Struthio camelus: one gene and its partner. The protein of the gene in region 1 interacts with the protein of each later gene in a biochemical or structural test. Links are inferred from orthologs where the notes say so. Each region holds a gene or a part of one and is shown on either strand. Other genes may lie near its edges.

Region 1 (16,612 bases):
CAATTGATACTAGATTTCATTGCCTGCCTACCTGGAAAAAAGATATATTAGAAGGAAACACTATCTCCAGAATTTATCATAGGGTTTACAGCAGGCAGTATCTTCTTTATACTGGCCTCAAGTGCAGTCCTAAAACCAGAATAAAGAATACTGGAAACCAAGCAGGAAGTTCCAGCAAATGCAACAACGAATACAAAGGACTAAAACAGCCCGAACTGACTGAATTGGCACAGGGTCTTACAGCAGAGAAATTATTCCATAGAAAGAATCTAAAATAGTGGCAGACAGCTGGGAATGAAATATTTGAAAGAAAAATATCTGAAAGAGAGAGATGAGCATTTCTTTTGATGACTAAAAGGTTAAAGAGAAACACGAACTCAAACATTTAGAGCTGAATACTAATGAACTTGTTTATCCTTCAAGCAATTCTCAGCATCTACAAGGGAACTAAGAAACATATTGCAAAAGGTAGCATGGAAATGCTGTAGAATCAATGGTGAATCACAGAATCCACAGTGGTAAGTGCCTGGATTTAAGTCTTCCCACCTTGAAGGACAGTACGGTATTTGCTTTTCAGATTCATCACGCCATCTGACTGCTCTCCCGTATCAAGCAGCCTCTCCCTCTTCTGCCCCATCATCAGTTGCCCGTCCTTCCTCCCACCTCCTCTTCACTAGGCTCCTGGCCGAAAGTTGCTGTCCAAACCTCTCTGCCGTGCAGTCTTTCCCACTTCCACAAAACTCACCTACACAAAAAGTCTCGATCCCTCACCATACTGCTGGAGGCTTTAGCAGACTTCTTCTGGACAAAACTCCAAATTCACCTACCAAATATGGTTCCAAGCCCACCTGCTCAATTCCAGTCACAGTTGTCAATAGCTAGTACAAGTTCATATTCACTTTTAACTCGAGACAATATTCACTTTTAACTCAATGAACAGAGTTACAGATTGAAATGCTACCACTTCTAACTTTTGCTGTCCAATGCTTAAAAATAACGTGTACCTTAGGTACTAGAAGTTACCATTAAATATCTAAATTCAACAGGTTACCACTCTGAAAACAAATACCCCGTGGCCTTTTTCAGTTTCTCAAACCCTTCTTCTGCTCTGGATTATTAACCTTTCTCCACATTAAGTAGAGCCTTTAGAGTCATTTCACATAAGGTTTTCCAATAACATCCCATCAGGCCTCTACAGTGTCTAATACTCTGCAACTCTGCTAAAAGAGCACCTGCCAGATCACCCTCTAACTACAGTTCTCTTACCAACTCTTAACTTTCACTACCAGTTGGTAGTGCAGATTGATTGATTTGTCTTTTCTGTACTGCAAGAAGAAATAGCTCATTTCTCATCCTCTCCAGAGGAATTTAGGTGGCTGTGACATCTTGTTTGGCATGCTTTCTAGGCCAACTGAAAATTGTACAGCTTCTCTAAGTCGTGAGATAAGTGGTTCAATCTGAAGAGATCTTGACAATTAGCTGAAGCTAGCACTTGATAAGGTGGCCATCTGCAAGCAGATTAAAATGTAGGCAAGCTCCAAGTCCTGCTGCATGCCTAAACTGGACAAGTGGTGGTGCGTGGACCTACGGTAGATTCTTTCCATGGATTAACTTCCAGCACACAGCACAGGCAACAACTCCTCAATTTTTTTCCCCATAGCAGATTAAAGGAAAAATGGGAACTTAGCACAGAGGTCGTCTAGGGGTTTGTTACTTTTAACTTTTTAAGTACAGGTCAGCTACTGTCCTATGTTAGAAATAATTGCAACTCTATTGTATAACAGATCTCTTTTACACTGCAAACACTATCAGCAAGGACAGCATACTTGGATATCAGACTTTTTATATGTACATTTATATTTACTGTTTGCATACTAATAGGGCACATAAAAATAAAAATTCTTTACATCTCTCAACTTGCCTTCCCATGCTATTTTTACCCATTTCAAGGTCTTCTGTTGTCAACTCCGCTTGCAGAAATAATGCCTGCATTTCACCGCACAACCTTACTTTATCCCAATATCAAACTTTTTTCCACACGCATATAGATAATGTCCAATCTCTTGTCATGCTTACCAATATACTCTAGACCAGCTTGGTTATAATACATGCCACAGGCTGTCACAAACCAATCTTTCTGCTAATCCTTCAGTGATCTTCAGTACAGCAGCAGATTTACCTACGTTCTTTTATCTGATGATCGTTTTGCCTAACACATCTAAAATAAAATCTTCCACAAATATCTATATTTGCGGAATTCCCAAATGTAAGTGCAAACATAAGGAAATCTTGCTTTAATAAAATCAATTTAGTTGATCCAGTTCCTTCCTGCAAGCTGACAATTGCTATCAATCTGTAAATTTTAAGATAAAAATTGTAATAATAAAACTTACATGTATGCTTTGCTCCCTTTCTGCAAAATGACACTTTTCCGAACTCCAAGAATTTCAAAAAGTTTTCAATTGCCAGTTTTTTCAGTTATGTTATCTCTGAAATAAACATTTTTTTTAAGGTCTTAATCCTGTCTTTCCACTTCCCAGAATGCACAGAGACCAGCCTCGGGTTGTATATACACATAATAAAACTAGTTGAGGCATATTTAGCATGAAGAAAAGCAGTAACACTTTTGCTGTGGTAAAAGGCAATGGTGGTAGTGTCAACTACCATCCCCATCACTGCAGCCAGAAAAGTCTGTCAAACTGAAGAAAAACACAATTCTCCGTGGAATCACTGCAGCACATTCACAGGGGAACAGTTTGTTTAAATCAATGTCACACTAGGAGAAACAAAACAAACCTCAGGAAAAACCCGAATCCTGTAGTAGACTCTCAGCTGATGAAGACCCCTAAGGTAATGGCACCTCGGAGCATATCCAGGGAGCCCAAAGAGTGCTGTGGCACTGTAGGAGTACCAGCCTTCCTTTGATAAAAAGCCATCAAAAACTATGCAAGTCTTCAGAAACTGAAGACATGTATCTAGTATTCCTCTTGGATTTTAGCTAGCTAAAGTTGTAAGATATAGTATGCTCCTAGTCAGGAAATATCCAGGAAATTATTGGGAAATCCCAAAGCTGTTTAAGTAAACACAGTCAAAGTGCATTCCTTCCTCTGAGCTAACTTTCTGTCACAATAGCCTTTTAGATTTCTGCATTAGCATTTTAGTATCTAACCTCAGCTATCTAAAGTCTTCAGAAGCTCCATCCCACTCTTCACCATTACAAACCACATTATATTTTTCTAAATAAATTAAACTTGTTCTCATGTACAGGAGGCCATGTTAGACATATCTTCTATCATTGACTAAGATTACAAAAAACAGTTAAAAACGAAAAAAAAAACATTTTTTTCCCCTGCTGAACACTTGTGAGCTGTACCATAGTTCTAAATGTGACTCAATGCTATACGAAGAACAATGGTGACAAACTGTATAAAACAGCGGCAGTGATCGATGGTACTTTACACAATATCTGCTTTTCAGTAGCAGCATTCTAAGAGTGAAAAACTGCTTGCACAGTACCAAGCCTTGTACCAGTTCGTGGGAGTTACTGCTATTAAAAAAAAAAAAGAAAAAAAAAAGAAAAGAATCCACAAACTTTAATTTATTTTTGCTATTTGAGTTTGTACAAGTCACTTTTTATGCAATGGAAAAAAACACATTCTACCTAAAGAAATTTTAGTTTTGAAGACTGAAATGGTAAACAGTTAGACAGAGCTGCAAATTATCTGAAATATTTTTGCAGACCAGAAGTGTTATGTACACGTTTTTCCAAGTGCAAATTGGGTATGTTCCTCCTAATCCACCCATGAAGTACAAGAACGAGGAAAACCACCTCTTCCGGAACAACTCAGGAAGAGCCCAACAGCGATTCACTAAACCCCCCTAGAAGGAGTATCACAGAGTAGGGTGCGCAGACAAACCAAGCACGTGCCCTGCTTTCCCAGGTACCCTACGGAAATGTGCAACCCCGGGAAGCTGGGGCACCTCGCCTGCCTCCTGCAGGCAGGGCTTGTTCGGCACACACTCCAGGCCAGCAGAGAGGCTGTGGTGGCAGGCAGCACACCACGCTGACTCGCAGCTCACAGACCCCGCTCAACCTGCAACGGCCTTGGTGCTGCATTAACCCTGCACACACAGCTTTCAGACGATAATTATTCAGGTGGAGCAGCCTGCAAAGGACTGAATAATCAGTAGTTCTAAACAACACGCGCATGTGCCAAGAGACGTGTGCGCGTGTCTGTCTGTGCAAAAGCATGAGCCTCCGTGCAAGCCTCCAGGCATTACTGAAATAAACAGAGACAATTATTTTTGCCTCAATTTTCACAGGAGGAAGCTTTCATTTTTCTACCTTCTGGGAAGCCGCGCAGGCAGCTCAGGAATGTGTACAAAAATGCTCTGTAGACAGAAAATGGCTGTATTCATGTTACCTCTGAAAATAAAAGGTCAGTTTTTTCCCAGGTAAATACTTTATGAACGTTTCTGTATCCATAAATTGTGACCATTTGGCAAAATAAGAAGTCTTTCCTACACAGAGTGTTACATTTTCCCTTGCTTTTGTCTGTGCTATCCCAGCAGGTTATCTACTAGCCTTTGAGAATACGTCAATGCTAAAAAAATCCAGTAACCTATTTATAAAGCTCTGGCAATTTGATTCAGTTTCTCAGTTCTGTAGGTAGCCCATAGTAGTGACTCACGGACTTCAGTTACCCTGAGAAACTCGGATGACTAGCACGGCTTGCCTGGGGGGTGCCACAGGTTTGAGAAGCCCAGTGTACTGGAGCAGGTAGCAAAAAAATTGCCTATGTACCACCAAATCTGTGCTCGTGTTTACTGAGCGTCTCAATTTTCTCCCCATGGAAAACCTGAACTACCGGAAATCAAGAGACGATGGCAAAATGACAGAGGAGAAAGAAAAAAATACACAGAAGAAAAGACACAACAACAACAAGCATCAAACTCTAGCTTTGGTATTTGTGAGGAATAGTTTGAAAAATCATGGCCTGAAGCTATTTTTGCCAGGCTCCTGAGGGCAGCAGGCCCTGCGACCTTTTTCCCCGGCCCCCGCAGGGGTTTAGCTGCCCGTGATGAGGGTCAGCTCTGCCGCGGGGCAGCTGCAACCTGGGACGAGGCTGCTGGGAAGCAGCTCCGTTGCGAGGGAGCACTGTGAGACGCCTCCAGGGCCCAGCAGCCTGCAGCTCTGTTTCAGCTGGGGCCTGTGGCCGCTCCCTGCCCCTGTGCCGCCACAGGGCCACCCATGCCCAGCCTGGTGCCTCACTTAGCTCTGACCTGGCCCTGCTGAGTTGCCCCCACCACTGCAGACCAGTCTGGTGTTCCCCCAGCAGCAGCTGACCCCAGTAACCGTTTGGGTGTGCCTCTCCTCGGCAAGGTCCCTGTCCCGCAGTCACCCTTGTTCCCTTCCTGCCATCCCTTGCTGGGCAGGTCACTCCTGCTGCTCCCTGACAGTCTGCACGTATCAAAACTCAGAAAGTAAATGCATTTATTTTGGAGTCCTAGTTCATTATCTTTAGCCTTCAAACGCTACTGAAAGATAACTAATCAGTGCGCAATCTGCTGAGCATAAGGAAAATGCAGGATTCTGTCCTGTTTCCATCTGCAGTGTCAACTTGCACAGAATTGCCTCTAGCATATAACGAACTATCCTACTTACATAAATAAAATATAAGCCCTTTGCGGGAGGGGTTGACCCTTAAGCATAGCCCATACGGCAGCAAAGCAGCCCACTGGGGATGTAGTATTGTCTAAGAATCGAAAGCAAGAGAAAGCAACCGCATTCTGACTAACAAAACAGGATATTTTCTTTTTACAAAACCTAAGTAGTTCACAATTAGGACAAAAAGTTGCAATTGCAAAAGCCTACAGCTCTGACTGCTTGCCTTTCAGAAAGTATCATAAAGAGGCATTTACTGAAACACACTCCCTCCTCCCTGCCCACACCTCCTCTTGACAATTCTCTTTGTGCCATTAAATAAGACAAGCCCATCAAGCAACAAAGAAATTAGGAGACACCTAATATTTGGAATAGAAGAACATCCACCCAATTTCTGAACTGAGAGATTTTCTACACTGACAAGGAAAATATTGTCTGTGTGCCTGAAAAGAATAAAATTATGGGCCATATTCTTTGCAGCTAGCTGACACATCTTGGTTGAAATCAATAATTGTCAAATTATACCATCAGTAGGAATTAGAGGATAAGTGGTGTGTTGCACTCCACATAGAACATGGGAAAAAGGTACAGGATAATTTGATTTGGGGCTGTACCACACCACGATCTTGGCAAATACATATATATTTTTATACAAACCTAATTTATTATTTGTTACAGTTTGACTAGATGATTGCAAGTTGAAGTCATGCTGGCTACATTTTTTCCACTTCACTGACAGGTCTGTTACACTTCATAAAAGGCTTCAAGTCTCCTGGTTATGGTAGAAGTGATTGGAGGGGGTATTCTACATTAAACTAATGCATTATTTGTGCAGTCCTTTGAAGTTGTAAGGGGCTGCCCAAGTGCTACCTACCATCATCATCACCATTAACCAGTAGAAAAACTGCATGAACTTTAGCCAGTGTTTTTCTTGCACTGCAGTACAGATTTTCTTTTTTCATTATTATTATTTTGATTGGTTTTCTAGTCATCACAAGTCCCTTGTGTTCATTCTAGTGGTGGGATCTAAGACATCCAGCCCAGTTATTAGAACATAATTGGATAGATGTATAAGAACAACCACAAATCTCAAAGTTTGTTAAGCCATTCTGTTAAAAAAAATAAAAATTGCATCTGTACAGTTGTAAAACAACATCGACTCATGAGATCTCAGACATTAGTAGTTTTGTTGCATAAAGTAAGGAGCCTTTTGTTATCACTACTCTGCACGCACATGTACACAAATTTGATGTAATTAGCAAATCGCAGCCCACCTGCTGCTTGAATAAAAGCAATTCCCTTAACAAACAAGCCCTGCGTCAAAGCATAGAAATCAGCAAAACGCGAGGGTGGAGGTACCCCAACACAGAGGCAACACAGCCCTGAACAGCGCACCAAGTTAGCTCCTGCCTGTGAAGCTTCTCACAGCAGGGACGCACAGCACAGCCTCTGTGACAGTATCTACATGAACATGAGCATTAATAACTCAGCAATACCAGCAGCATTAAGCCTGCAGAAGGCTAGCTATCTAGTTCAAATATGCCTTCAATTGCACTCAGAGAAGCATTCAAAACAACAAAAAGAAGCGCAGTTAAAAGCTCAGTGACTGGAGAAAGGAAATTTATCCAAAGAGACTGACTTTTCACGTTTTGTAACATCAACTGAAACAGAGCAAGATGCTCTGCTTCTGAAGAAGTAACGCTCAGTGAATACCATCGCACTTGAATGCTGACTGGAGAGATGCCAGTGATGCCAGCAATTCCAGAGAACGAGCTACAGCAGTGTCTTTTCCTCCTCTGCAGAAGACCTCCTCTATGATTTGTAAAAAGTCTTAAAAAAAAAAAATGCATAAGAGTGAAACTTTTCCACCTCTAATCAAGCAGATATCAGGGACTACTTGCTTCATATACAGCAGAGGAATCACTTACTATCATAATTCAGAACTAAGCTGATACACGGCTGGGAAACAGCAGTTGTATTTTCCAAGCAGTCTTAATCTTTCATAGATCTATTCTGCACAAACTGTAAAGAGATCAAGAACTATAATTGCTGTAACCTTCAAAAGAATGAGAAGGTAATGTTATCCATACTGCTAATGACCTAACTGCAAAAAAAGAAACTTTTTCCCCCCCCCTTTTTTGATATATTCGGATTCTGAAGCTGTGCCCATACAATTTGGCAGGAAGCATGCTCCAAAGTCCTCATTATCCAGCCTGCACATTCAGATTTCTCTGACAGTGAAACGGGGACATACAGGTTGGGAAGGCATGGGGGAAAAGACTGTGTGCGCGTACCTTCAGGGAGAAGTCTCTCCCCCCCCCCCCCCCCCCCCAAATTTGGAAGAGGTTCTTGGGGTCTCGCAGTTTAGCGAGATCCTTTGTATCTGGTTATTCCTCAAATTTGAAAGAGGGAAGAAACGCTTCTGTGTTTTTAATGGTGTGCATATAAAATAAATCAATCACTAAAACAAGAATTTCAAAGCACAGGAATAAACCGCATTAACGATTAACGCATTTGTTATGTGCTTGATCAGCCCACTTTTCTATTCCGTTTAGGAGGTAAACACTCTGGTATTGTATCTGTCAGAAACGAGTAGTCAGAGAGGAATTAGCCAAGTAGCTAAAGCTTTCCACCCATAGTCACAGTTAGCACGAGAGAGGCATATCATGCACTTCAGACCAAGATGCAGCTGCAGAAGGAGGAGACACCCTATTTACCTACCAGCAGAATCACATTCTCCAGACTTGTACAATTCCTTTGTCTCCCCTCTCTTCCTGCCCCATGCAGCCATAACAAAAACATATCTTTTTACTTTCAAACTGCTATGTGCCTGCTTTCAGTATAACAATGATCTGGAGCAATCTAAAAAATGAGATTTCTCCAAAAATGAATTAATTTTTCTTTTTTAATTGTGTTGTTATTGCCTTAAAACTCCTCCTTCTCTGGAGATGACTTTTGTATGACTCTTCACCAAAGTGTTTTTTTAAGGCAAACATCCATAACTGTTAGCAAGCAAACTTCTCTTTCAGCATAGTCACCGGTACCCCAGGTTGTTCTGGCAATAAAGTCAAACAGAAATTAAAAACAAACAAGCCAAATGCCTAATTGCTCTATCGTGAAAATAGGCTTTGTTCGAAATGGATTGTATGGAGGAGTTGGCAGTAAACAGCAGAAAAGCAGATGCTGTTAAGTTCTGCTTTTGGACTATTGCTAACTTAAGCAGCCATTCCAAACAGATTACAGTGTGCTCAAAACGTAGCAGCAAAGAGCAAATGAGCACCTAGCCAAGTGAAATGCCATGTTACAGACAGCTGCTGCCTCAGAGGATATGTCTGTGCAGCCATCCCACCTGGCTGTCCTAAGAATTGTTCTTACAAAACACCATACAGCCAGTGGCATTATTACCAGTAAAAAAGGAAATATTCAGTGGTGTCAGAATTTCATCTTTCAGGTTAGAGCTCATATATGGTCTAGCATCAGTCACTTTGACCTTCAAAAAAAACCCTACATAGACTCGCAAATGTCAAATTTTATTTCACATCTCAGAGCTCCCAGAATCTGTTATTAACATAGCGTTCATCGCTAATGCTCATAGGATTCAGATTTTTCTAGTCTTGCCCTTCCATTTACAATTCTGTTTTTGAGATTGAGCTACAAAAGCGTAAATGCTCTAGGAGTCTGTAAAGCTCACCTCTGTGTTTATATGTTCTTAGTTACTTACACCACATACAGATTATGATTTTTAAGATAATTTTTCTGAATAATTAAAAATTTGCTTTGGGTCTTTCAGGAAACCCACTCACAACATTGAAATTGCTTGCTTACCAATTTTGAATCAGTGCTTTTTGCATTGTATCAGCTTCATGCTCTAACAGGTAGGGTAGCAAGCTGTTAAATTATCATATATTTTCATCTGTTTTACTTAAACTTCAAATTTGAAGCAAGATACTAACCAACCAGAGGACTCAAAATATATTAAAGAAAAAAAAAAGATCAGCAGTAGAGTCAGACACTAAAACTACATATTTATATACTGAAAAATCTTGCAGCAGGACCCTGTCTTGCAGCAGGACATGCTTGTGTTAAATGCCCATCACGAGATAATCAAAACCAGCACAACTTTCTCACCTCTCTCCCCATTCTTCCTTGGGATCACAGTTATGCAACTTTTTGTTGAAATACACACTTAAGATGAATTGGCACCTAAATAACCACCTGGGTTTTGACTCATTATTGGTCATCATCTACTCCACTGGGAGAAAACAAGGTTGAGAAGTGTGAAAGGTGTTTGGCTTTAACTCAGCAGGGATCATGAAGCACAGCTCATGGTGGCCTCCTCACCGTGTATGGTTGGTTGGTGAAACTCATCAACAAAAGTGCAAAACTCGCTTATTTACTCTAAATCTTCTCCAAGTCAAAAACTGAAAATTCAGTATCATAAGGCCTGTAAGCTGAATAAATAGACAGTTGACGGAAAGGAGAGAACAGAATGTATGACTTAATATATAAAGAATATCAAATCAAATCAATTATCAAAGTGATAAACGCTCATCCCCAGCCTCTGGCAGTCTAACGATGATAAATTTAACAACCTGTGGATTTCCTTATTAAGAACAGCTCAAAGTCAATCATCAGTCTCCTTTACTGGGATGAGCTGGAAGAAGGGGAATGTTAGCAGAATGTCCTACAGCATCAATGGTATTATCTATGTGAATGGTTCTTGCCGGAGTAGACCGTTAACACAGACATCTTTATTTTAAAGTAATGCAGAGGTTTACATTAAAGCTTTAAATTTAGGCAGAGTAATCCAGGCCAGAGTACAGTAAAATGCCAAACTCCGCAAGATGGTTTCTCACCTCAGAATACAGACTGGAATGGTGAATAGATATATACCTATTTATGTATATAATATATACAGGGCAGGAGAAAGGGAATAACGAAGTGTAAAAGTATCTTAAGCACAAAACCAGTTTTAAATACTTGACATCATACACCTCCAACATAAAAATGGGCTTAATTTTCATCTTTACACACACAACACTACTGACCTCCCACTGCAAGAACTTCTGCTTTAATAAAATCTAGACTTTAATTTTAAGCAGAATGAAATAACACAGGAAATTCACAACAATTTCTCTAGTATGAAGAAACATTTAACCTTTAGCAGTGGAACAAAGTTCTTGTTAAACTGACTGGCTCATTAGAGTGCAGACTAAAAACGTCTCAATCTACACAGAAATCACTTTCAGACAAAGGAAGATGCAAGCACATCTCAACCTGATTCTGCCAGATTTAACAGCACTGAGTGATTCTGAAGTAGAGCAGGACACTATATAGACTCCATGCAGATAGTAGCTGCTATTGGATTTTTCTGCACTAGTGTGAGCACAAGGATCGACAACAAACAAGATGCTTTAGAAGTACTAGCAGAGCAAAAAATTCTCTCAAAGGACAGGCATCAACAGTAGGAGCTAATGAGGACACATTCCAGCCATAATAAGTAGGTCATATTAGAAATCTAGGACTGAGATTGAAATTCATTCCCTCTCCTAAAAATTGACCAGAGACCTAAAGTACATATAAATAGTATAGATACAGAAGTAGAAAGATGTTTCTCAGTCCAGAGAAGTCAAGCAGGCAGCATCAAACTAATTAGCAGGAAAAAAAGGGAAAAAAAGCCTGTAAAACTAGCAAACACAAAGAACTTCAATATTAAGTTAACGACCATTCCAATGGCCTGTAAAACTACAGATAGTTGCAAAACTGAGTCTGTTCAAACAGAGAGCTGAATTCTCTACAGATTATTCATTAAAATGAAAAGCAATCTTTGACTCATTCTATTTTAGACACTTACCTACAAAGCTCAAAATTAAACAAGCAAAATTGATAATCTGAATTTCTTTAGTCTCTTGGTCATCCAGACACTGCTTCAACAGACTTTTGTTCAGTGAAGAAAGAAAGATACTAATGCTTTTTTTTTTTTTTTTTTACCCAGTTTACAAGTGTGACATTCAGTGTACTACCTCCAAGGCCGTGCATTGTTTGTATGAACATCGTAACTTGTCATAGGACGGTTAGGACATAACTTGTCATCCTCTATCCAGTTGTCTGCCCTGTTCTCCTATTCTTCCAGCATTGTCAAGTGCCAGTAGAAGGTACTGGCCCTAACCTAATAAGCACCTAGTCTTCCTAAAAGTGTGCAACACAATGGCTGAGAACTAGTAGTTTTGATCAACAAAAAATGTGTTTGATTATCACATCTTCTGAGTGTTTAATAAGGCGTTGGCACTGTACCAGCAAGCTAGCAAAAAAGGTACACACCTGATCTTTATTTTAATTCAAAGCAATTTACGATCTTCCACCATTATTCCTCTGTCTAGCAAAGATGATTAGAAAGCATGAACATCCAAAGGAATGAGAAAGAATACATGTATGTTTATACGTATCCTACTGTGTACTGAGCACCACCTGTGCATCATAAAAATAAACAGACGTGTTTGTGTGTACACACAAAATAATAAAATCTGGACATTACTATTATTTTTCGTATTCAAAGAAAAAAATTCAAAAGTGAACTAATTTACTTGATATTTTTTCAAGTTCTCAGGTTAACTAATTCCTTCGCCCTTTGAATACACACACTCAACCATCATAAGTCGGCCAAACGGTCTGTTAACATGTTGAGGAGACAGATGGTAAGTCCGTACTGCTTTCTTTAAAATTCAGCTTTTCAGGGATGCTGTGTATTGCTAAAACCACTTAATAAAAGTTCTTTCAGAAAGACATCTCAAGTCTTGACTAGAAATTATTTCAACAGGAGAAGAGTCACGATGGTTCCAAGAAGCCCCATGGTGGGAGGAAGAAGGCTATTGCGAGTTTTACGAAGGGGGTTTGTGTAGTTTTAAATTCTTACAGGTCTTACCACCTTTGCAATATTATTTTCCATTCAGCCTCCTTTGTGACAGTAGCAACTATTAACCCAGGTCATCTCAACAGCATTAATCCGTGCAAGCACTGGTATGTGGCTTGCAGGAGCTCACATGCAGGACACATCTTTTTGGTTTATTAAGAAAAAGGCTCTTCCTTATTTGTTTTTAAAAATCAAAGAAGAAAAATCTAAATAACCTAAAAATTGATCCGTGACATATGGACTTCTACGCAATGTCCAGTGATGTAAGAAGGGAGATGGAATGGCTGATATACTGAAGTATGGTTGCAGCAACATCCACCTTAGTAATCAAAAAGCTTGCTAGAAGAGAGTGTCAGGGGTTTGTATGTGGGGAAGAGATAGAAAGCAGCACAGATGGATCTGACCCCTGGCAGTAAAGGAAGATATGTAATGAAGTGAAGAGAGGAAGAGAGTAACGAAGTAAAGGAAGGAAGCAACCAGATGGACAGATACAAATGCAGCAAAAGTTTAGGCAGGGGGAAAGGGAGCAGTAGGTGAGAAGAAAACACAGGGAGAAAAGTGCAGGGACAAGACCAGTGATAAGTAAAAGTAGACAACAGCAGTCAAATAGGACAGTCACACACTGGGAATAAAAGTAGTAGTAAACAGGAAGAACAGCTGCTTGGAGAAATGTCCTAGAGCATATAAAAAGAACAGTCGGTAATACAGAGCCTATTTACTCCAGGAGGATTTTTAAACTGTGTAACACAAAGCTGGAAGGCCAGAACAAGGACTGAAAGGAACAAGTCTCAGGCAGGTGACAACCTTGCAAAAAACTATGGGTTAATATGAAGAAAAAAAAAATCTGAAACGCTTATTTATGCTGAAGGCTATTTCATTGATATCAGGGATTTGACAACAGTTTAGGTTGCCTTCCTTCACTGCTGAAGTGGCTTCATTTGAGATCATAACAACAAGGTAATACACAAACTTGGACTTTTTTTCCTCCAAAAGAAACCATGTCAACCAGCGATGCTATTGTGCTTTGTTGTTGCATAATCGTTAAAGAAATGCTTTCCGATGCCCTGTGAGAGGGGGTACTATCTCGAAAGCTCAAAGGGATTGTTCATTTGATCACTAAGCGTAGTGTTTTTCTAACCACTCATGCACTCAGAGAATGCCTCTATTCTCATGTTCCCCTGAGAGCTGAGATCATCTGAGATATGCTGGCTATCAAATATAAAGGCTGAGGTAGAACTGATGGCAGGATATTTTCAGTGAAGGATTTTCACAGACCTGGAATTTATCTTCTGCGTTTTCTGATGAAAGTCGAATTTGCTGACTGCCAGGCTAATTAGAAGGTGTAAGTGTAAAAGCAAACCTTTACTTAAGGATTTAGAGTTGAAGAGTTTTATGTGTAGAATAGTGAAGCAGTTTAAAAATTGACAGAAATAGATATGGATATGTTTTAAACCTTAGATAAATGTCTCTCTCCCCAAAGCCACAAGCAGAAACCTGTAAGGGCATTCAATCCAAGGCTCTTAATGCAAGTAAGTACTTAAGAAGAAGAGACTAAAAAAAACCCCAAAGCCCTCCAAACAGCAAGGAAAAGTCCCACATTCAGAAATCACACACTAGGCTACGAAGCTGTACACACAGATAATGCAATTAACAATCAACAAGGTTACTGCATGATGTGCTATCCTGTCATCTCCTAAGAATTTATGCAAGTTTTCACTTCTTACCTTGAAAGTTTGTTTTACAATATTCCATTCTTCAAATCCCTGAGGTAGTCTTATGATGCTTTTTTAATGATTCTTGAACTGTTTTGTTAGAAGCATCAAATTACCAGAAATCTCTTAAACGAAGTGCTCAGGCTCTTACCCTTACATATATTAATAAAAACCCTCTGATTCATGCCACTTCAGCACAAATAACAAACGGGCAAGAACTAGAATCAGTACTAGTATGTGCTAAAATTTACAGAGGACTGATGCAAAATAAAAGATTTAGGTTGCCTATGCATCTCCACTGTTTGCGCGTTACCTTTTTTTTTTTTTTTTTTTTTTGAATTAACACAGAAAACAAACTAGACTCCACTATGAATTAAACAGGTATTTCTACAGCGCATGGCAGACACGCCTTACAAAAAATATGCCTTACAAAATCCCCCAGTCTGAGTGCTCTTTTTCCTCCCACCCTGTGGGAAATATGGCTTATTTTGGATTTTTCTGCATGAATAATATATTTAAAATAAATGGATTATTGAAATCATGACATTTTAAGGAGATCTGCCGGACACTAAAAACCTACAATTCATGCAAATTAACTATAATTTTCAGAAAGATGTGATCGTACAAGTTCTGCAGCCCAGAAATTTGAAGATGTTTCACTTGGGAAAATGTTATTTTGCACACATTTTTGTTTCTCTTAAAATTATAGGTCACACAAAATTACACATTTCAGAAACCTTATGACTGACATTCTGACTAATAACCTTCATATCAAAATCCCTTTTATAGCTGTAAAAAGTAAACAAAAAAAATCTTAAATAAAACAATCATAAAGATCAAATTTTGCTCTACTTCCTCAACATAAGAAGTCTGTTAAATTAAAGGGTTTGTATTTTTATTTAAATCAGAATAGCTGAACTGTGAATGTGGCACTTAAAGTGCAAGTCTTTATGTTGCAGTGGTACATCATAATTACATCAATATAAGCAGACTAATATAGATCATGGAGAAAATGCTTTAATTTTAAATAGCTCCCTGTGTCCAACTTGCTGATGTTCAGCTTGTGTATGAATGAAAACATAGGCTTTTTCTCCAAACTTCACCCCTGATGATGAATGTAATTACAATGCTCTGAAAAAACACAGTGAGCTGATTAGAAAAGTCAGATATTTGTAGATGTCAGTAATGATTTATTACAAAGAGGTCGGGAGTCATGATAACTAGCCAAACTAACGTGTGATTTTGAGTAACATGCTGATTTTAATTCATTCACTTTTTTTTAATTAATTCATCAGATCGATAGTCATAGTGAGGTCCTAGTCCCTGACTAGGTGCTTCTGCATTGCAAATAACTACTGAAATAACACTAGAAATGTTACTGAAGTTGCATAATCCATGTGCAGATTCAAGGGTGGGGAGGAATCAAGTGCACCATTAAAGTAATTAAACCAGTTAAAAAGGAAATAGAAAAATCCCAAGCATGCATGCCTATTGCCTGGGCTTCTCACTTTCAGAAAATCTTGTTAATTAAGTTCAATCCCACTGATTGTTTCAATCTATCTCTTGAAAGCAGGCCACTAAATACGAGCACTGATTTTGAAAAAGAAGAAAGATTTATTGTTCCCGGCATATGTAAACAGAGATAATACTCTCTGCTGTAACCTAGGGGAACTTACTTATCACACAGAGGGAAAGCAAAAAAACTGTTTTTCGCTCAATCTTCCCATTTCCTCTTTAGGCCTAGATTCACCAAAATATCTTGATCAAAATCTGGACAGTATTTCAAAACTCCAAAGCACACTTCTAATTTTGCTGAAATCTGGGGAAATTCCTCTGTTTAGTTTTATCAGTCAGCTTCCTTTGGAGGCTGTGCAATTCATGATCATGTTAGCCAGCCACCGATCCCTCAAAGGAATGGCAACCTAATTTTGAGTAAAAGAGAGCAGCTTTCATTTTTCTCCCTGACAGCTTTTGGTTGAGGAGGTTTTCAGCATGGATTCTGAAGCAGATCTGCTTCTAGACCTTCACATCATAATTAAGTATTCTGAAATAGAGTACTAAAATAATTTCAAGAAATTTTGGAGAATGAACTATTTAAGAATTCTCCTTTACAGGCGTGGGGAAGGGGAAACAAAAAGAGAGAGAGAGAGAGAGAGGGAGAAAGAGAGAGAACAAACTTTCTTTCCATTTCTGCTCAGTGATTGAGATAGTGCCCCTGCTTTGTGTTCTAGAAATATTATAGCACAAAAATAAGACAATTAAAGCACAAACAGATTAAATCCTAAAGTAAGGTTAAAGTTTAAGCTAAATCAAATATTTAACCAA
Region 2 (16,567 bases), on another chromosome or scaffold:
GAATAAAAGTTTTACCTTTCTAATAAAACTTCTAATAGAACTGTCAAAAACAGATCACTACCCATCAAGACTAAAGGATTCTACTTAGAAAGAAAGACTTCCAGCGTAATACCCACAAAATGTTTTCCTACTCAAAAAGCCATAACATTTGCAAAAGACAAAACCCTGAAGCTGCTCCATAGTTACTGTATTTTTCACCTCTAACCATATAGCAGATTTATTACGAGAACTGGTTTCATTACAATCTTTTATGTGCAAATATGGCCTTCACAATGATATCACTTTAAAAGATAAAACTTTAGACTCTAAGTTACCAGTGTCAACCAAAATATTCATTCTCCAGTCTAAATAAATAAAGATCCTTTCAGTTATAATTCTCTAAATATCAAGGTAAAAAAAAAAATAAAAGCACTAGTATTAAAGAGAGCACTAATAATGTGGGGATTTTATTTTCATTTGCTTTATAATGAAAATACCAATTTATCACAGGACATCTTCTCTCCCACCACTTTTATTAGGAATGAGGTGAAGAAATAAAAAGACAGCAATCTCCCTGAGGGCCCAAATAGCCAGAAAGAGGGTATTAGGGCGCAAGAAACCACTGAGAATTGGCTGAAGTATAGCTGCAAAAGTTAGGTCAAAGCTGTGGAACCACGGAGAAACCAGAATTAAGCAGAAAAAACAACACTTCGCAAACACAGCTAAGCAGCGTACGGGCCTGATTAGCGTAAGCCACAGGAGTGAACGCAACAAGCGTCAGAAATCCTGCTTGCAGCATCCCCTGCATCTGCCTCCCCAGAACCAAGAGCTTTTTGTGAGTTCTGTGGTAAGGACAAATGGGAAAGATGTCTGTTGTTAAAACCAGGTGATCCTAAGGGCATCAAAAATTCAACAAGGTGAATTCCAAGACCAAGATCTAAAGTAAGCTTTTTCAGATGTACACGGCCTATGAAAAGCAACCAAAATATTCACTTGTATGCTTAGCAATTTTCCACTAGGTTGCCCTTGCATATATAGTTCAGAACGTCTCTTTTAATAACTTATTTCAAGGCATGTATTAAGTATGCATATACTTTCTAGCCAAGACCAATAAATAATTCTCTATTACTTACAAAACAAAAAAATAACAAACCACCAGGAGCTACAGTTGCTGGACACAGTGCTTGAAGCACTGATATGCTTTGAGCTCAAAGTACAGTCAGAAAATTAGTAAATATCTAAAAGGTTAGCTGTATGTGACAGCACACAATGGAGGGCTCTTAAAGCACTAAGATTTCCTGTTATGCTTCAGAGAAGGAGAACAAATTTTTATTCTCCTACAGGTATAGCTGTAGAAGTCTAACGAAAAGAGAATCCAGCACTTGCAAATCTCCCAGTGACCCTGATCAGGCTTCATTTCCTCTAAAAGGCATTCTAGCATTTTGTTACCCTCATACTGATCTCTAAAGCACTAAAGGAGCGAGTGCTCTGTTCATAACGTCTTCATTAAGAAAGTATAATGCCCTTAAGTTTCCACCTAGCTAAAACTGTGCAGATATCATGATGAGACAAAATATATTCCTTACTGCTTCTGCTGCTACCTCCCAGCAAGTGGAGACAGTACCAAGGAATGTTCATCTTCTCCCATGACCTTCCTTTTGTCTCACACTGAAGCTCCAAAGGATGAAAATCCCTATTCTACCTCTACCAGATTCCCTTTGCAGTTTTGTAATCAACTAGCAGCCTCTAACTTTCACTCTCTGATTTTTTTGAGGACATCTGTGAGCCTCCAATGCTCATCAAACTCCTAAGCTAAAAAGATCTTTAATAGGGCAGATCATTTCTCTTGTTTGTGTTACCCTTCAGTGTTAAATGTTTAAGTTAAATTTCAAAGGATGACAATCTACAGTGAGATTTAAAGTTTATCTATTAAATTCATATGAGTGAAAAATACATTTGACCAATGTAAGTTTTAACGCCCTAATGACAGCGAAACTATCAAACAGACGGAAGTCCTGAGTAAGCAGCTGGAACCAGAGCTCTGAAGCACTAAACCAACTTTTGACAACATTTTTTTTTATTTTAGTTTGTTGCTCCACTAGTTCAAGTCAATAATGCATTCAGTTCAATTCAGTTCACTCAATGCTGACAGAATAACTGACAATTTAGAAAGCAGGAAAGTCTGATCTTCTTTTCCAAATGATGAACACGAAGGACTGGAGATTGGATTTATCTATTAATTCCAAGTCTTGAAAGGCACAGTGACCAGAAATAACTGACTCAGTTCACAAACTGCAGACAATTCTACTTCCGTAATCTGTTCTAAATGCAAAACATATTTGGATATATTTATTTCTTCTTATATATCTAGCACAATTAGGATTCATATTATTTAGCCAATAAAGTCAGCTAAAAGCTATCTATAAGATGGGGAATTATGTTTCTTAAACATTAAGAATCTAAGCTACATAGCTACTTAAATAAATGCATATAGATGCGTACCCTCCTGCCTCGCAAGAAATATGATCAAATTAGACCAATTAGAATCAACTTTTCTTTAGGAAAAATAATTAACCACAAATGCAAAATAAAATTAAAAACAATTATTTAATCAGGATTTCCTGCTCGCTGATTTAAGTCATGATTAAAATTAGCAATATAATCACTCTGATTTCAGTCAATTTTTCCAGCATAGACCCACCCACAAAGGCTCATAACAGCAGCCTTCCCCCCTTCACCAGTCTTCGGCATGTCCACCATCACTTAAACCGTTCAGCTCCTGCGTTGTGGGACCGTGTTTGAGTAAGCCCTGCTAAAGCTTGCAGGCACCCGTGGTCCCACCACCGACTGCATCCTCCCCAGGGACAGGCTGGGTGCCAGGATTTTTCTCCAGCCCATACCAGAGCTCTGCTCAGGAGCAAGTCCCCAGGACAGGCAGTGTCCGAGTGAGAAGCTGAGCCTTAGTTTCTCTCCTAAGCAGAGCATCTCAACAAGGGTTTGGCTCTGGGTAAGGGATACAGGATCCCGAAAACCCTTCATCCAGCTCACCACCCCTCCTCTGTTGTTAAATACTGAACGTGGAGTACCTGTCCCTTGCGATCTTTAATGACGCATTACAGGTTTTTGACTCACAAGCCCACCCTGGGAACTGGACTGTGTTTTGGAGGTCAGCTTCTGCAAGGAGCTTTTCTGGGTTTTGTTTAACTGTTATCCAGCAACTATAACACTACGCTCCATGGAACTATCCTTCAACGCTGCTCTTCTAAATAGAAAAGTTAATTACTTTTCTTCTCCTCCTCAACTTTTTTTTTCTTTCCACTTAGAGCAGTCCAGCAAACCAAATTTCCTTTTTCCTTTTTCACAGCTAAAACACACCAAACCAAACAAAAGAGAAGCTCATAAAGTGAGGCCAAAACTTTCTTTTTCCCTTTATATGCTTTTGTGTTGCAAGGGAGTTACAGTTCAAGAAATATTCCACTTCATAAACACACCTAGCTTACTAAATTTAAATTCGTTTACTTCTGCCAAAATTTCAGTGTGGAGGTAAGAAATCTAATATGGGGGTAATCTAGATTGGGAACAAATACTACTTCAAAACACTAAATTATATCAAGACGACAAAAAGTATAAAGGATTATTTAAACTTGAGTTATTTTCCATAATCTCTCATCCTTTCTTTAGGTAGCAAAATTCTACAGATCTAACTTTGACCATGACACACACACACACAAAATAGACTTTCCTAGGAGTGTTCAGAACAGTATTTTGCATGCAGTTAGAATTACTGAGCTCTAAGAAAATCCAAAGTAATGTCAACACTAACTGCAGAACTGTTATTACACTGAAACATGTTTACTTCAACTCAATGTTGAGAGGAAAAAAAAAAAAATCAAACAAGAAAAAAATTATAGAAAAAAGAGAAATAATATACCTGTTATTTGAATGGAGATAATAATAAATAAATGTAGACTGTCCTAAGAGATATTGATTCTCTTTCCATTTAAAATGGAATAAGTTAATGGGAAACCCCATTCTAGGCAGATTAAACCAGAATTAAAACAAAACAGTAATCCAAGTTTCATTTACTCAATTCTCTGCAGCGCTTGTCTTCTGGAAAACTAGATTCCAATAAGGATGGGCCTACACTTAAAAAAAAAAAAAAAAAGTCTTCTTTTCCCTTTTCTCATTTGGTCATACTATAACATCTCATACGAATTTGTCAAAAGCATCAGCTCACTCTAAGAAACACATGTGCAACAAAAACAGCAATATTACAAGCTGGAATCTGTGCATACCAGTGGAACAACAGTAAGCCTTACACAAAACCTGCTCACACTATAGTTGGCCTAAATAATCTTTTATGATTGCTATGTTCACTCTAAGTAAAAATACACTCTCATCTTTAACTGTGAACTGCTCCTATACTACTTTGCTCCCACGTAAACCATCCAAATCCAAAAAAATCCTCAGAGCTCTACATCTACAGTTAAATGATAAGAAACAACAATAAACAAAGTTGCTGGTTAAGAAAATAAGAGAGTTGAGTTTTTTGCCACAAGCAAACAACAGAGAAAAAAACAGAAGTTTTAATAAAATCAAGTAGCTTTCATGTTCATATACTACTATACTGCATGTAGCATGCATGACACAAATCTGCATGTAGAAGTATCTTCTAGATGGGAAACTTAAGGAAGAACCTGCACCTATAGGCTCAGATGGACAACTACCATTACATTTTAGGTAATAATAAATGAAAATGATAAATACATTTATCAAACTAGAAAAAAGATTCACCATCAAAATTTGCTACATCTGTAACATTAGTTCTTTAAACAGTGTTAAGTAACTGTCATGGGTTCATTTACCATGTTGTCATCATACATTAATTTGAGCTCTAATTCTAAATCTGAAATTCACATTCCTATCATAGTAGTTCAGAGCTGTATTTGGCACTTTGTTTTGCTTTTAGTAAAATGTTTAAAACCAACAGCATGCACACATAACAGCCTGCTAAGTATTACGCTTGACTATCGGACACCGTGGCACTGCTACCCTCCCCCCCCAGCCTCCAAAAAGAAGCAGTTCCAAGATATTCATACATGTATGCCCCAAAATCTCTTCTCTGTGCTTTGTCTAATAATAACCTGAACATCCCCAGGTTACAAAACAGCACCTTCTAACTATGTCCTTTGGTTATATTAGTTACACACATAAATCTGTCAAAAGCTAACAAACTTTGAACATGAAGTTGCAGGACGGCCTTCGATGAGCTACAGCACAAGGTTTATCTACCCACTCACATACTGCATCTAATGCTACATAACAGCTCTTCCCATATTCTTGATTGCACATTTTGTAGGGCTCTTGAGTAAATGACCAAGTATACCACACAAGTTATTTTCATATAAAATAACTGACACAACTACAGTATGTTATGCAAGAATATCTGAGGAGCTAGAAAAGTTGTAAGAGACCATATAAAATTCAAAACCAGTATGTGGTAACTTAGAAACGATACTGAAATGCAAACAAGAGATAGCTCGGGTGTAATAAAACTGTTCAGATACAATTGTACTTAAGTCCACTCCAATCTTTTTATTTTAAAACCCTAAAACAAAATTCCAGATCCATAGAGTTAAGCCACGGTACCCCAGAAGTATAGCTGTTAAGAATATAATTAAAAAAGTTAGTGCAATCTGTAGTGCATTTCAAAAAAGATGAATTCTTTTCTTCAATTTCACCCTGTATTGTCCAAATAGTTCCTTTTCAATACTGTCACGGAATTTTTTTTTTTTTTTAAAACAATTCTGGGTGACAGCTATAAACCAAAGCTTTTCTTTTTGCTTTCGCCAAATTAAGGCTTCAGAGAATATTTTTAGGACTTCCTAAATCAGGGTGCTGGGGGTTTATGTTCTTAATAACTGGAATCTTTAAAAGCTAGTGTGAGAAATGCGGCACATGCTAAACTTTCAAGATGAATCACGTGTAAGGCCGGCTAGACCACAGCACACATGACGCGCTCTGAAGGCCTGCGCGTTTGAAGGCAACACAGGCATAACTGCCACAGAAGTCAATGAACGGGATTTGAATCAACAAATCCAGTGGCAAAACTAGGCCACAAGCTCGACTCAGTGTCGAACGCATCGTATCTGGAAATACTACCTGCTCAAAAATGGTATAGGCATATAGACGTTAACGCAAACGCAGAAAACGCACAGAGTGTTTCTCTGATCTAACGTAGGCCTACATCCTTACGCACCACTTCAAACAAGCTAATAACCTCTGCTATCGTTACAAGGTCTTACAAGTTAAGAATCAGCGGGAGCGCAAACTCCTACAAACGCACTGCATTTCAAATATTTCAAACTTACTAGTTTAGCAGGGATCCGACATAATTCTTACACATATATAAGCCAATGTCTATGGACGTATTAACAGCATGTTTTTATTCTATGCTCTACTGCACAGATACTTTATCACAAAATATACCTACATAAGGGTGTGCTACTAACACTCCATAAGTATAAACGCAAAATATGAATACAAGCCTTGCTGAGAGCTTACACTGATTTTCAAACAGAACTGCCTCGTGAGATCATATAATTACCACAACACAAAAACACTACGCAAATACAGTAAATTACAATACCAAGCACATATCAGGGTTTTGTGATTGCTCTCTAACCTCTGAATCTATATGAACAATGTAAATTACAGTACGCAGAAAAATCAAACAGCTTAAGTCATAAGAAGGAAAAAAAATGTAAAAAACATCACCACCACTTTAAAAATTAATTTTACAAAAATGTTTTTCCATGCCTAAACAGACATACTCAAAGAGCACTGTTTAAAATAAAGAGATATGGAAGTTGTGCTGCAATAATCGTTTCATGCTTGTATGCCAGGTATTCAAAATGCATCCAAAAATACCTTTCATATTCCCTCTATATGAATATTATATTCACCCATATTCATAACAAACGTGGCAGTGAAGAAACCTACGCTCAATAAACTTAAACTATATATTTAGCTGGGGTTTTTTATTGGTGGTGGTGGGTTTTTTTGTTTGTTTGTTTTTTGTTTTTTAAGAGCTTCAGTTTTCAAGAGAACACGAGCACAAAATGCCTGCCACTTTACTCAGCATCTTTAACATACACCGTGATTTCTTTCCAGGTATTTTCTAGAGCATTTCATGCCAATCTACCCAGAGGAGCGTGTGCAAAAGTGACAAAGAGTGATACAACTCTGACAGCTACCGGCATGGAAAAATCAGAGGAACTGGTACTTCCTTACACATTTGCTGGATACTGAATCCTTGTTATCAAGTCCTTGTACTGCTTACCAACTGAAAAAGCTGCAAGACTGTAAATACAAAGACTCCCCAATCCCACTACTATTCCTATTTTAAGGTAGAAAGTTTCCTGCTTGGCCAACAATGTTTTGTACTTTAGCAGAAAAACTATATGGCATTCGTTAAACCGGGGCACACCAAGTAACACGATACGACTGTTCAGTATGCATGTATCTGTGCATAAAAGTTCTCCTCCACCACTGACTGACATTCAGCAAGTAGTTATTTCAGCTAACAGCACCGAGCAACCCACTAGCTGTATAACTGCTACATCTTGTGGCAATGCATTTCAATGCAAGGAGGAAAAACAGACAATAACTGAAACGGAATAATAAAAAAAAAAGGACTTGTTTGCTCATAACCTTCATACAGATATTCCCTGCAAACACCCACAACACCCTGCTCTCGCTGTCGGTGTAACACAAGAGGGGAGGAGCAGGGGAGGGAGGAGGAAAATATTATCATCTCAGACGTGATGGAGGAAAGGAGAAAGTTGCAGTCATTCCGCGGTGGCTGCACGGTGCCCTGTCACTCGCGGCTACGCGACCCACCGCTCTCCGGGGCGCCTTCCCGACAGCAACCAACGCCGCGGCGTCGCCCTCCTCCCCTGCCCTCCTCCATGATGCCAAAAGCACCCGACTCCTTCCAGCCGGCGGCGGCGCGGCGCCCGGCGCAGCCCGCGGGTCACCCGCGCCCGGCGGCCGCGGCGGGGCGCGAAACGCGCGAGCCGCCCGCCCGCCCGCCCGGCCCCGCCGCGCCGCGCCGCCCTCCGCCGCCCAACAACGAGCCGCTCCCGCTCCCGCTCCTCCCGCGCCGGGCCGGGCCGGGCCGGGCCGGGGTGCCGCCGCCGCCGCCGCCCGCCCCCGGCGCGGCTCGGCCGGGCCCGCGGGCTGACCCCGCGCCTCCCCCGCCGCCGCTGCCGCCGCCCGCCAGCCCGGGACCGGCCTCCGGCGGCGGCCGCCGGGCCCCTCCCCGAGGGCCGGGCCCCCCGCGCAGCCCCGCGGCGCGGCCGTTACCTTCCTTGGGCGGCTTGCCGGGCGGCGCGCCGGGGAGCTGGGAGGCCGCCGCCGCCGCCGAGGCCGCCGCCGAGCAGCCCTGCAGGCTCGGTGGGGACGTGGAGAGCCGGGACCAAGATGGCGGCCCCTCCAAACTTCCACTGCTACTTTGGACACTCATCAAGCTACTTTCCTGGAGCCCGGCAGCCGCCGGGGGCGGCGGGGGAGGCGGCGCGGCGGGGGGACACCCAGCGCCGCGCTCATGGCCGGGGGGCCGGCCCGACGGCGGCGAGAGGAGGCCGCCGGCGGCGAAAGGGCTCCGGAGGCAGGCGGGGCGCGGGAGAGACGGGGCGCGGGGCCGGCGCAACCTGCCCGCACCTCTGCACTGCGTCGCCGCCGAGCAGCCGCCTGTGTGCGAGGCGAGGCGAGGCTAACCTTCCCTTCCCTTCCCTTCCCTTCCCCGCCGCCGCCGCCGCTGCCGCCGGGGAGGGGAGGGGCGGGGCGGGGCGGGGAGGGCGCAGGCGGGGCGGGGAGGGGTCATGCGCAAACACGATCGCGAGCCGAGCCAGCGCCGCGCTCCGCCGGCGCCCGGCCCGGCCCGGCCCGCACCTGCCCCGGCCCCGGCCCCGGCCCCGGCCCCGGCCCCGGCCCCGGCCCCGGCCCCGGCCCCGGCCCCGGCCCCGGCCCCCGTGGCTGCTCCCCTCCTGCGGACCGCGGCCGGGCCGGGCCGGGCCGGGCCGGGCCGGGGCGGCGGAGCAGGCGGCCCCGAGGCCGCGGCGGTTTCCTGCTGCCGCGGCCCCGAGGCAGCCCGGGGCGCCGGGGCCGGCGCCGGGGCCGGGAGGGCGGCGGCGGCGGCCCCTCGCAGGCCGCGGGTGCGGGGTCACCCTTACGTGGGACCCCGCAGAACAACCCCCAGGTCAGGCTGCTGCTGTGAGCGCCTGGCAGCGGCGGCAGAGCTGAGCGTGTCAGTTCTCTGCACGCTTTAAATAAACGTTATTTTTACAGCTTTTCCCCTAGTGAGACTTATCTGGTGCCAGCTGCTGACGGGGGTCTGCTAGACTTCAAGTGTGTGTTTTTCTTTTCCGAACAGGACCGCGTGCCAGCAGAGGCCGGGGTCGGAGGGAAGCCGCGGTCTGCAGGGACGAGGCGTTACTTGGAGGCCGTAACCTGCCTTTGCACCACGCGTCCACTCTCACCGGAGGAGCTGAAACTCGGGGCAGGAGCCAGGCGCCGAGAACCACCACCTCTCGCAGATGTTTCTCTCTCAAAAGGGTCCCAGCGGTGCACCAGCCCCGGCCCTGCGTGTCATACAAAATGCACCCCTGTGCCTTAGAGATTGCTGATTTCATTTTGAAATCCGTTGAGTTAGACTAAAATGCAAGTAGAGCTGCATTTAAACCCAGTCTTCACTTGTTCATTCCCTAAAACTACCATAATCTTTTCTGGGAACACGAGATGCGTGGTAAAGTCAGTTCTAGAACAAAGCCTTTTAATTTATAAATGCAAGTTAAGGACCGCAATAGCTTTGATTATTTAGAAGAATCATGGCTTGCAGGTTTATGGTATTCTGCATACACAGATAACTATCTTCATCACCTAGGCATGGAAGTCATTTTGTAGTTGCTGTGTGGAGACATCCTGGCCATCTACCAACCCATTTTTCTTCTGAATTTTGAGAATGGCAGGAATAGACTACTGATGTTGGGTTGCAGAGCTGTACACAACATGGATATTACCCGTTCTTTCTCTTCCTTTCTAAGTGACATCTGTCAAATTATCTAAGATCTTCACCTCCCACAAGTATACAGCATAGCTGCAAGTTTCTTAGCAATTAGGTATTAACCTGAAGTAAAAATTAATATGTTTACTTGCTAACTAGATCTGTTACAGGACATATATTTAGTAACAGATAAACTTTTTTTTTTTTGGCAGAGAGACGTATTGTGATGTTTTGACCAAGACGTGTTTGTTTTTTAAGGGCTTGATCATAGAGAAGATTTTTCAGGCTTTACCTAAGCAAATTACACCAAGAAATTACTAGTAGTCAGACATGAAGTAAAGCAGTTACTAGTTCACTCTGTGAATATTAATGTGCAATATTCATATTTAGCAGCTGGTATCGAAACTTCTTGCGAGGTTAAAAATAAAACATACAATCCCACAATCCATACCCTAGCATAAGTGAACATGTTCCTCCTTTCCTGATGAGTATATCCTCCTGCAGCATACTGTTCTTAAAATATGCCAAGAAAGAAGCAATACGTTAAAGAAATTCAATGTCTCTGTTTATGCTCATTTGCATTCAGTTAAGACAAACCTCTGCTACCCTCACAAGAACATACATAAACAAGCTTTGTTTGTGCCACTTTGGCTTATACGTATGATACTGTTGTCTACAAGGTATTCCACTGAAATTGCTGGGACTCCTTGTTTAATAAAGTAACACTCACCATGACTAGGGGGGATAACACATGAAGAGAAAGATCATTTTCATTACTTCTTCTATCAGACATGCAGTTTCAATATTCTGAAAATTCTGAGATTTCTTGCAAACTGCCCTAAATTAACACTAAGAAAAATAATCAGATCTTGAAAACATCTCACATGGTGTATCAGAAGACTTATCACTGAGGGAACAGGAAGTGAACTTACCTGCACTGCAGGATTCCCCACTAGAGGGCTCATTAAACACTACAACTGCTAGTTGGCAGAAATGTGTATTTTTTGCAAAATCCAGTTTAGGGTCTAGGGGATCCTGGAGTTTCTCAGTCTACTTTTCATAATATAGCAGCAGAACCATATCTCTTGTTTCTGTGAGCTGTTGATGTAGTCTGAAGCAGAGTGTGAATTATATCCTGACTCCAGATGAGACAGTCTATTTAGCTTTTAGAATATGTGGAGCTGGTATGTTTCTCCTTCGTATTTCATAGAAAACCTACTTTTTAAATGTTTTAGAGCTGACACTGATTTACAGTATCCCTTCCTTTGTAGAGCTACATTGCTTCAGTATTATCAGTTTAATGGTATCACGGTGGGAGAGAAGAACAACTTCATTGATACCTTTTAGAAATTTTCACACGCATTCTAAAAGACTTACCTTATTATAGGACTTCATAAATGTGAATAATGCTTTTCAGAGGACTGACAATGTCCTGCCCTCATTTTGCACTAAAACTTTATGGTCCAGTAGCCAGATGGATAACCTCTTACTCACAGTGGTGGGCAATCAGCTCAGTGCTACCCCCACAAAATGTTAAAAACTAAATCCAATTCTCAAATAGTTCTGAAGAAGTATTTCTCACTCTTTTATCGTTTCTTTTAAATAGTAAATATTACATTTTTTTCTTTTGGCCTTCTAGTTTCCAGGAGCAGAACAGTCTGCTACCAAGATTTCCTGTGTAATCACCACATATCATCATCAGCCATAACTTGAGGTAATAGATACAGGGAAATCCCATTTCAGTGGAGTGGCACTGGATAATGAAGAAGGTGCCACATACAAGGGAAAACTTAATTCCAAGCTAAGTCTGAGAAAGCTCATTTAGTTTTGCTAACTGCTAAGGAAGAGGATCTCAAAATGCAAATCAGAACAGGAAGGAATAAAATGCCTATGTTCTATTTCTCACATTAGGGTATGTCAAATGCAAGTTATCAAAGGCTGATCACTGCACCAACCCTCAAATCAAGGATGCTTGAAGAACAGAAAAGGATTATGAAATTTCATTATTCTAAAGACAAAAAAAGCCAAATAACAAAAATTCTGAAATAAAATTGCGCAAGCTGTCAACTTTGCCAATGGAATTACTGTCTGAGTAACTCTTATCACAGTAAGTTCACAATCTACCCATAAATCTTTCAAAAAGTAAGAGAAATTAACTAGGAGATAGTGAAGGTAAGGGGTTTAAGGAAGGGACTGACAGGCTGCATAGGGAAAGTAAGTAAGACTACTGCAGGAGTTTTAGTCTCTAGAGACATTCACCTTGCATCTATAGAGGAAACAGTGCAGTCAAGTCAAATGTCATTTTCAAAACTTCTACATACATTCTTTACAGAACAAAGAGACATAATTTCAAACACTAAATATGATACAATCCAAAGTTTATCCTACATGTTCTTGAGGAAGAATATTCTATGTTCTTGGGACCAATTACAGAGGAATGTTTTTCCCTGTTCCTAGACCTTCACCTTCACTGCTCTCAAGTACTAAATAGAATTTGGTTTCCTCATGAGAAATAGTACTATTTTAACACCAGTCATACACATTCTTAATAGCTGGCTATGTCATATCTATCCTTTTCCCACCAAAATCAATTTGATCTTAGCTGGATTAAATTTTAGGCCAGCAGCAAATTCAGACACCAGAATATCTGAGGGTGGTGCCTGATCAGGTCATGTAGCAGATTATACGAGTAATGTCTGTTTACATATAGTTTCTAAATTAGAACATCTTTTACTTATACCAGTAATTAGAAGGGAGACCTCAAGTTCATAGGACAAACAGGAGAAGTAGGGATGGAAGAGGAACTTGACTGAGCAGGCTTGTACTTTTTCTAGGAATGCAAGTCAGGATTTCCAGAGTTATGATTAATGATAACATCACTGGAAAAGCTATATGCTTCAGAACTTAATTCAGTCTCTTGACTCAGCTAGAGTTCAGGGAAATGTCAGGGATCAGAGATCATTAGGGTCCTTCCTTTGGATGTTTTTGTGAGTTAGTTCTTTCACCTGCTTCTTTTGATTAAGAGTTGTATAATAAATCTGCCAATGGCATTGCATCTCTTCTTTATACCCTCTTATATCTTTACCCAGAAATATTCAATACGTAGCTTTCTTTCCTCTTCCTGGACTTGGAGCAAATTATCTTCTTTGACAGACAGCAGAGCACCCTGGCCTTGTTTCTGTCATATCTTTCTCAAACAAGCAATTATCTTCTGTAACCAATATTCAAGTTTTTTGATTTATCCCATCAATTATTTGTGGTGCCAGTGAAACAGGTTTCGTTTGTTAAGAAGACTTCAAATTCTTTCTGTTAATTCCCTGTCATCCCGGCACGTCTGGGTAACAGAGACGTCAGATGTGTGAGCGGGTTGCCTCATTTGTTTCTCTTTACTTCTCTGCAACCCTTTTGCAATTTTTCTGAGTACAGCCCTTTATGCTGTTACAAAGGTGCTTTATATCTACAGAGGTATTTCTTTAAGGGACAAACATACGCTATTCCAGTATGCTATGCTGATGTACCAGTATATCTGCCAGTGTAGACCAATTTTATATGTATGTATATGTATAAATGCATGTATACCCACACATATACACATGCACTCACATACCTCATATACAGAAGGACGTACACACACCCTATTACTATGCCCACACCAGCAGCCAAACTGTTCTAATTTCATGGGGGAAAAAATATTCTCCTGACTAAAACAGACAGAGTGGTACAGCAACTTGTATAGAAAATGCCTAAATCGTTTCATCATTAAAATGAAGTATTTTTGACAGTTCTAGCTTAGATTGAAAGTGGAGTTCTGGAAAAGTATAATTTAGGAAAAGAAAATACTGTTTCCTGTCCTGGGGAATGCTGGAAGTCTGTAGCTCCAACACTGTGTCCTTCCCATTCCTGATATAGCTGAGTGCCCGTGAGGACCCTCCCCTTATCACACCGGCACGCTCCTGTGCAGTCATGGCTAAACCACAGCTAGAATGTTCCAGGCTGTGCTCTGATGTTCAGAAGATGAAAAATGCAGATTTGGCATGAGTACAAAGTAAAACACCAAGTGACTTGTGACAGCAAACGCACTACTGTGATAGAACATTGTCCCAGATTGTTAATACCTTTTGCACCTGATTCTTACATTGGATTTCTGTTTATGAGCAAATAGGAATATTGTGCTAACCTTAATTTTTATGTTTAGTTAAAATTTTCTAAATCAGATTGAAAACAGTGATATTTTAATAGGGAAAAGTTATTCAGATCTTGATTAAATCAATTTTGAGGCACAATGAATTAGAGCTGTCTCCCTGAACCACATACTAAACTACATGCTTTATGGTTTTTTTTAATATAGGCAACTCTGAGTTAAAAGGTAAAAAAAAAAATATACATAAGTAATATACCAGCAGAAATATCTTCTCTACGTATACCAGCATATCAAGCTGAAGAGAAGCCAGAATGAAAAAATGGTATCACATTAAGCCTACTTTCAAGAAATAGACACAAGCAGCATGTAAGCAAAGACCTATTTTTATCATCTGTGTAATTGTCATAAACTGTATTTATCATCTACTTCTCATATCATCACCAGCAGTCAGATCCAGTGATCCACCTCTGCTATGATTACTTCTAGACCAAATCTCTAAGAAGCCTGCAGATGGCTTCCCTTCAAACCAAACACAACACAAAAATTAAACTCTTCTCTTCTTACCATAGAAATGTTCCTCTTAACTCCAGTCTCCCTGCTCTAACTACTATTAGCTATATTCCAGCCAGAAAAAGGACACTTTTACAATCCTTTCTTGTGTGTCATTTTAATAAAAAATAATTTGGTTTGGTTTTGTTTTTTCTAACTGATGAATACAGACTTCAAATTTTGGCCAAATAACATCAATGATAAGCCTGACAGATAATGAAATATTAGAGATTAAAATGACAGTACTATAATTTACAGATTCAGCTCCTCTGTCTCCTTCCGGATCTAGCTGAGCTGGTCTGCCACTTCTTTCAGGATGCCCCCTGTGCCAGGAGTAGGGGAACTCCTGTGCTCAGTCTGATCTGACAGCCACCTAGTCCAGTGTCCTGTCGCTGGTTCTGTCCAGAGATGTCATAACCCTCCAAGAAAAAGATAACAACCCCATAGTCAGCAGATTTGGGACAAGCTTTCTCCTACCCCCACCCCCACCCCCACCCCCACCCCACAAGGTCCTGGAAAACAATAGGGCAGGAGACAAGCTGCCCTGAAGATACCTGAAGGTACTGAAAACAACTTCTTATTTCAGATAGTTGAGGAGGTGATATGGGAAAATGCTATTCTACATATTATCTAGCTTAATCAGAAAGTACTAACTGATAAAATGAAGGAGGAAAGGAGGAATGTTTTATGTTTAACTGATCACAAAACAGTAAAAGTAATGATGCTAAAGAAGACAAGGAATAGCACAAAGAGATGGGACTTCAAAAAGCAGATTTTAGTTGGCTTGGGGAATGAATGGGTGGGTAGATCTTTTGGAAGAAATTCAGAAGGAAAAAGGAGCATAGGAGAGCTGACAGTTACTAAAAGAGGCATATTAAAGGCACAACAGCAGACTATCCTGATGCAAAGGAAACACGGAGAGAGAGCAATATGGCTTAATCAGGAGCTCTTTAACTACCTAAAAAACAAGGATGAATCACACCAAACAAGAACAGATGACTAAGGGCAAGTTTAAAGGAATAGTCACATGGGGATCAAATCAGGAAGGCTAAGAGACTAAATGAGCTAAACTAGGAAAAGACCTAAAAGCCAATAAAAGTTTATATTCATACAGACACACCAACCCACCCACCCACCCACACACAGAGCAGACCTAAGAGGGAGACAATGGAAGGCTCACATCCATTATCTAGCAGGAAAGATAGCAAGTAACAGATGTCACAGAGAAGACTAAAATATTCAATGCTCTTTTCTGCTTAATGTCTCTGCAAAAAAATCTTAAGATCAGATACGCAAAGCAATTACTTTTAACAAAGGTCAAGAAGCACAGGCCAGAAAAGGCAGGGAATGGGTTAAGTGATATTAAGACACGACGGACGGTTTCAGATCCTGTTGACTAGAACGTGTAGCTGAGATAAAGTATAGCAGTGGATAAAGCCTGCTCCCTTGCAGCCTTGCGTAGCCTCCTGCTCAGATTAGCCCAGAGTGAAAGCTCTGACTGAAATTTATATGGAATATTCATAACAAGGTTCTTCTGCATCAATTTTCCAGTGTCTAATATCATGGTTTCATTCAGACTGATTTCTTTCCTGCCATGGAAGACTGTCTATATACATGCTCATTTTCACAAAAACTGTAGAAATGTGATACCTTTGAGATCCCTACTATCCAGTCCAATGTGGCTGGAAAGTGACTAATAAGTTCAAAAGTTATTGTGCAGCCTGACAAGCAAGTATACAGTGTGATCACATAAATTGTATTTCCATCGGAAAACAGGCTAAAAATTACCCTGGAGCATTTAAAAAGAAAAAATAATCTCTGCATGATGATTC

The links.
Region 2: the proteins of MBP (region 1) and TLK1 form a complex in vitro, tested with the Homo sapiens proteins (2 studies listed by BioGRID, with this or other methods). The link is inferred for Struthio camelus from reciprocal best matches to the Homo sapiens genes MBP and TLK1.

What each region holds. Positions count from the first base shown.
Region 1 is NC_090943.1:106,584,712-106,601,323, reverse strand, and holds the start of MBP (myelin basic protein), read right to left. Parts: upstream 7,531-16,612; 5' UTR 7,516-7,530; coding exon 7,379-7,515; intron 1-7,378. UniProt on the Homo sapiens protein: The classic group of MBP isoforms (isoform 4-isoform 14) are with PLP the most abundant protein components of the myelin membrane in the CNS. They have a role in both its formation and stabilization.
Region 2 is NC_090947.1:23,049,247-23,065,813, reverse strand, and holds the start of TLK1 (serine/threonine-protein kinase tousled-like 1), read right to left. Parts: upstream 8,819-16,567; 5' UTR 8,507-8,818; coding exon 8,347-8,506; intron 1-8,346. UniProt on the Homo sapiens protein: Rapidly and transiently inhibited by phosphorylation following the generation of DNA double-stranded breaks during S-phase. This is cell cycle checkpoint and ATM-pathway dependent and appears to regulate processes involved in chromatin assembly.